Linked DNA regions of Daphnia pulex. The protein of the gene in region 2 purifies or fractionates together with the protein of the main gene of each other region. This does not show direct contact. Links are inferred from orthologs where the notes say so. Each region holds a gene or a part of one and is shown on either strand. Other genes may lie near its edges. The genes, in order: lipopolysaccharide-induced tumor necrosis factor-alpha factor homolog and E3 ubiquitin-protein ligase NEDD4-like.

The links.
Region 1: the proteins of E3 ubiquitin-protein ligase NEDD4-like (region 2) and lipopolysaccharide-induced tumor necrosis factor-alpha factor homolog purify together in Homo sapiens (affinity purification with western blotting; 3 studies listed by BioGRID and IntAct, counting the BioPlex papers as one, with this or other methods). This does not show direct contact. The link is inferred for Daphnia pulex from reciprocal best matches to the Homo sapiens genes NEDD4L and LITAF.

The regions. Positions count from the first base shown.
Region 1 is NC_060026.1:14,698,404-14,701,131, reverse strand, and holds lipopolysaccharide-induced tumor necrosis factor-alpha factor homolog, read left to right. Parts: upstream 1-765; 5' UTR 766-913; intron 914-1,040; coding exon 1,041-1,134; intron 1,135-1,216; coding exon 1,217-1,284; intron 1,285-1,345; coding exon 1,346-1,440; intron 1,441-1,506; coding exon 1,507-1,615; 3' UTR 1,616-1,898; downstream 1,899-2,728. Other genes in the region: cell cycle checkpoint control protein RAD9A-like, read right to left, coding at 54-277, 348-381; uncharacterized protein LOC124203995, read right to left, coding at 2,280-2,382, 2,449-2,701.
Region 2 is NC_060022.1:1,845,448-1,848,453, forward strand, and holds the end of E3 ubiquitin-protein ligase NEDD4-like, read left to right. Parts: coding exon 1-48; intron 49-114; coding exon 115-239; intron 240-320; coding exon 321-550; intron 551-609; coding exon 610-972; intron 973-1,034; coding exon 1,035-1,263; intron 1,264-1,339; coding exon 1,340-1,509; intron 1,510-1,593; coding exon 1,594-1,696; 3' UTR 1,697-2,351; downstream 2,352-3,006. UniProt on the Homo sapiens protein: E3 ubiquitin-protein ligase that mediates the polyubiquitination of lysine and cysteine residues on target proteins and is thereby implicated in the regulation of various signaling pathways including autophagy, innate immunity or DNA repair.

The DNA.
Region 1 (2,728 bases), on a different chromosome or scaffold from region 2:
ACAAAACATCATTGTAAACACACAATACTTCACATTAAAGTTATTTGTCAGACCTTCATGGGAAGTTTACATTTAATCACAGTATCTTCTTCTGGATCAGCGTGAACAGTATTTTCACTTATGTGCGTGTAGTCAAGAAAAAAAGGTAGGTGAAAATTGAAAGCTGAATAGGCAGATTTGGAAGCATTGACGGTCTTCAGAGTTAATCCATTTTCCATTGGTGAAATGTGCAATTCATCACCTATCTTAGCCAATGAGTGTATGGCTCGCGCCAAAACTAAAGAATAAAAGAAAGTGTTTTAGCTTTCAACTGCTTTAGTACAATCAAATGAAACATCATGTCGTACCCTTAACACTGGTTGCATCCAAAAGACATTTCATTTTTCTTTACTTCAATGTAAATTTAGTTGTTTGCACTAAAAAAAAATTCGAAATGCCGCCAGAAATTATATCGGTAACCCCATGTCCCGGATAACACGTTTAGAATGTTTAGCACGCAGACGACACGGAAATGAATTTTTTCAAGTATGCCCCGATTGGCTGTTGAGATTTTATCTTCACTGAAGATGTAAACAAATGAAACAAGTGACGAGCGTGACTCGTATTATTTCGGCCACATCTGCAAGTCACTGAAACTTGATTGTACTTTTAACCATAGATAAAGAAGACGGTCTTATCTGCTGAGGTACTTCAAGGAAATTTTTTTTCCCCTTGATTTATCAATGGTTTTCAATTATAACATTCTGAAACATTGGAAGACTTTCAATTACATCAGCTTTTCCGCTGTCCAATTCCTGCTGATTACATTCTGAAAAGTCATGGGGCGGAGCTTAAGAACAGCTGTGTAGTGTTAACTAGAGCACAGAGTGTAAACGTTTGTGAATAACTTACTTGTACTGCATGACTTTCTAAGGTAATAACAAATAAAATTTAAACTCTTTCATGATTCAGAATACAAAACATTGAAGTTAATGTTGGTCTGATATTCTGATTACCAATTTACCAATAATTCATTGGATTCTCCATAAACTATTTCACAGATGAGTAAACAAGGTCCTCCTCCAGCTGCCCCTCCTTCTTACATGGAAGCAGTGGGTGGTGTTAATCCATCAAGCCCCTTTACTCCTCATCAAAGTAAAGCATTTTTTTAGTATTTTAACTTTTAATGGGAAATGTGCCTCACATTCAAAATCACAATGTTTATCTCTTTTAATAGATGTAACCAACCAGCAGCCTATTATTGTGACAACCGTGATACCTGTTGGACCCGGAACAACACACACTGTTAGTTTTTCCCTCCACAGTTAATTATATATTTTATTTTCTCTATCTTCTTTCTTTACAGGTCTGTCCACATTGCCATGCTGAAATTGACACTTCTGTGCGTACTGAACCTGGTCTGATTGCCTGGCTTTCTGGAGGTCTTTTAGTTCTATTTGGGTATTACACAGTCAGCAATTTCTTAAGAGTTACACATTGATATAACACATATATTTTTATTACCAGATGTTGGTTGGGCTGTTGCCTTATCCCCTGCTGTATTCCTGAGTGCATGAATGTTCATCATGCTTGTCCAAATTGCAAAGCATACTTGGGGAGATACAGCCACTTTTAAGCTAATGTTCTTACTATGAAGAGGCAATTGGTTCTTTCTGTGTGTTAAATTTCATATTCATTTTTGGCAAATTTGGTTGTTGCATCTTGTATGCCAAAATTTACCTTTTTCCTAATTACACGAAGCTTTTCAATTTCAAAATTTCAAACAATAGAAATGCTGAACGTTGTATTATTCGTACCTTGCTTCAATATCTACTCCGCTTACTTATTAAAATCAAAGATACGCCGTGTTAATTTTATCACCAAAATTTATCAATGAATAAACTTCGAATATATTAAAATTGTCGTTTGTAATTTAAATTTTAAATTCATTGAAAAACGTTTTGTTCGACTGGGACAAAAAACCTATATTCCTTTTCTTAACTGAATTTTTTTAAATTAATTTGAATCTTGCAGTGCCGTAGTTTATTAATTATTTTTATGCTGCTCGTTAAATATATAGAAAATGTTATTCCTATGGAAAAAAGTTAAAAAAGAACCAAAACGATGCTTATTAAATGTTTCCCGCTATTTCATAGATACAAACAACATGGTTTTGGGGATTAACCTACCCATTAATAGAAGCGCAGTAAGAAACAAATGACAGGAAATGGTTGGATTTCTATCAAAGTATTTAATTATCATGACAGAAATAATCTTACAATATAAACAAAACGTAACTTTTATACATCCAAATCGCTTAATTTTCTAAAGTCCGTTTTTGTATCTCTCAGTGTTAGTTCTTGGCCAAGCCGAGTAATCGATTGCGACATCATATTCTGGCATCTAAAACAGAAAATAATTTATTTCGACCTAGACAAAGAGTTTTTTTTTTAAATAACGCAGACATACTCCTCCATGATTCCAATTTGCATAGCAGTAGTTCCGTTTAGATCAGAAATTACGCTTGCGGCTTTAATAAACTCATCAAACTTTTCCACCTGAATGTTATCGGATAGAGTTGTGCTGTTCTTAAAAACTTTGATCAATTCATCTGTTTCTTCTTTTTTAAATTCATTGATATCAATTAGACGAATCTGATGGCGATAGATGTCCAAACCATCTGCTAGCTCTTTAACTTTAGGGGTTACAGTACTTAGTGCATCTGAATACAAATGCAAACCAAGATTCA
Region 2 (3,006 bases):
GGGAAGAAAGAATCCATAATGATGGCAGAATCTTCTACATTGATCATAGTAAGTTGGCATTTTCCGTCAGGTGGTACTCGTACAGCTGACGCTTAATGCATTCTTGACATGCAGATACACGAATTACCCAATGGGAAGACCCCCGTATGTCGAACCCTAATATTGCTGGACCGGCTGTTCCTTACTCACGTGACTATAAAAGGAAGTACGACTTCTTCAAGTCGCAACTTAAGAAACCAGTAATATATTAAATGCCTACAATCTATTGTTGATTGCGTTCTTAGGTTTAATTGTTTTTTTGTTTTTTCCGCTTGTTACAGGCCAACATTCCAAACAAGTTTGAAATTAAAGTTCATCGAGCCTCTATACTGGAAGATTCGTATCGAATTATCAACACTGTCGCCCGACCGGAGCTGCTCAAGACGAAACTTTGGGTAGAATTTGACGGTGAAGTCGGACTCGATTACGGCGGTGTTGCTCGTGAATGGTTCTTTCTTCTCTCTAAAGAAATGTTCAACCCATACTACGGCCTGTTTGAATATTCTGCTATGTAAGTCTCCAATTTAAATTGCTTGCAACTTCAACTTATTCATTTACTTTTGCCTACAGGGACAATTACACGCTGCAAATCAACCCAATGTCTGGATTGTGTACCGAAGACCATCTGTCTTATTTCAAATTCATCGGTCGAGTTGCTGGCATGGCAGTTTATCACGGCAAATTGCTTGACGGCTTTTTCATTCGCCCATTTTATAAAATGATGTTGGAAAAGCCCATCGAACTGAAAGATATGGAGTCTGTCGATACTGAGTACTTCAACTCTCTTGTTTGGATCAAAGAGAACGATCCAAGCGAGTTGGATTTAAATTTTGCTGTCGACGAAGAAAGCTTTGGCAAAACAATCCAGCGCGAGCTGAAGCCTAACGGGACCAACATTCCTGTCACCAATGACAATAAACATGAATACATCAAGTAAGTTTATTTAAGTTAAATTATTTGTTCCAGCGATGATCTACCAATGTTTTGCTCTCTAGTTTGGTGATCCAATGGAGGTTCGTGTCCCGCGTTGAAGCTCAGATGCGTGCCTTCCTCGACGGTTTCAAGGACTTGATTCCTTTGTCGATGCTCAAGATCTTCGATGAAAATGAGCTCGAATTATTGATGTGTGGTATTGGTACCATTGATGTCAAAGATTGGAGAGAACACACCAATTACAAGGGGGATTACAATGCCAACCACATGGTAGTGCAATGGTTTTGGAGGGTAAGTCTCGTCTTTTCTTGAAGTTGTTTTATCGACATCGTCGAAACCTCAATTCGAATATTTCTCCTTTTTTTAGGTGGTTTTATCGTTCAATCCCGAAATGCGTTCTCGAGTCTTGCAGTTTGTTACGGGGACATCACGTGTTCCCATGAATGGATTCAAAGAGCTGTACGGCAGCAATGGCCCACAGCCGTTTACCATCGAGAAATGGGGCACGCCAAATAACTTCCCCCGTGCTCACACTTGGTAAGTTGCATTTTTCATTCCTTTGCGAAACGAAAGACCGTGCAAGATTTTTGACGATGGATTCTGTTTTCCTGTTGTCAATAGTTTCAATCGTTTGGACTTGCCACCTTACGAGAGTTACCAACAGCTAAGAGATAAACTGATCAAAGCCATCGAAGGATCTGAGGGCTTCGCCGGCGTAGATTAAACGTGCCGATAATCTTTAAAAAAAAAAGATTTCTTGTTTGCGTGTGTTTTTCCTGTAGAGATTTCTCTTCTTTCTTATCATTCTTATTCTCTTTCCCTACCACTGTAAGTTGTGTAAGATCATTCATTCCACCAACGGTGCGTGTCGTATAATCGATTTCTGTCTTATGCCTCGAAAACGATCCTCTTTGTTCACGATGCCTATGGAGACGCCGTGTACTCTCTTTATTTACCTTCCCTTTTTCTCCCCTTCCTTGGGTAGTGTACAGTTGGTATATTTCTCTCTATCTTTCTCTTTAACTCTTACTTTTAAACTATGGAAAACATTTGTTACTCCGACATGGCCTGGATCATTTGTCATGAACAGGGTGCTGATGGAGTTTGATTTCGGGGGGTTCGACTTTTGCCATTTCTTGCATCACTTGAGGAAAGTGTAGATGAAGGTGGAAGCAATTTCATTGCGTTTTTCTACTTCCCATTCGACCCATATTCGGTAAAATCGTTGCAATATTATTAACCAACACCATAACATCATCTATTCTTTTCCCCGTCGCGTCGATTTAATCCCGACAATTGCCTGCGTGTTTTGTGTTACAATTTTTTCTCGTTTGTCGCGACTATTCTACACAGTGTGATACATATTATTATACAGTCTATACCCTCTTCTTTAATTATTAATTTTTTTTTCTTTTTTTTTAAAATAACTTCTTTCCCGGTCAACGAAAAAAAAATTATTTGTCTCTTTAAATCCAACGATTTTTTTTTTTTTTTGCCCAAAAAAAAGTTTTACCATTTATTTTTTTGCAGCAATAACATCCCTTTCCTCCTTTGTGTGTCAGTGAAAACAAAAACCTTCCCAAATTCAATACATGAGAGCTATTTACTCAATACGTAATGGCACTCGCTCCATTTTCTTTCGACTCCTCCCAAATTTGTTGATTAAAAAAAGTGCTTTGATGTAGAACTAGATAATTACCGGAACGGGTGTTGGATTCGACATCATAAAATGTTTTTTTGCCCGTTTATAAAATGCATATGGTGTAAAACCATATGGTGGCGGATTGCATTACTGTCCGTGCATAAACGACGAGTTGTGGATTTTTTTTTTCTCTTTTTTTAAAAACTGTTTAAACGTTTTTAATTTCGCTGATTCATTCAAACCCAGCAATGCGGAATAATAGCCACCATGATCGTGATGAATAATCAAATGTCTGTTGTTCCTTCATTTTGTGGCTCTTTGCACCATGTGTTCTATTATGAATTGCAGGTAAATTGTTTTAGAGTGCATAATGACTTAAAGTTCCTACAAAA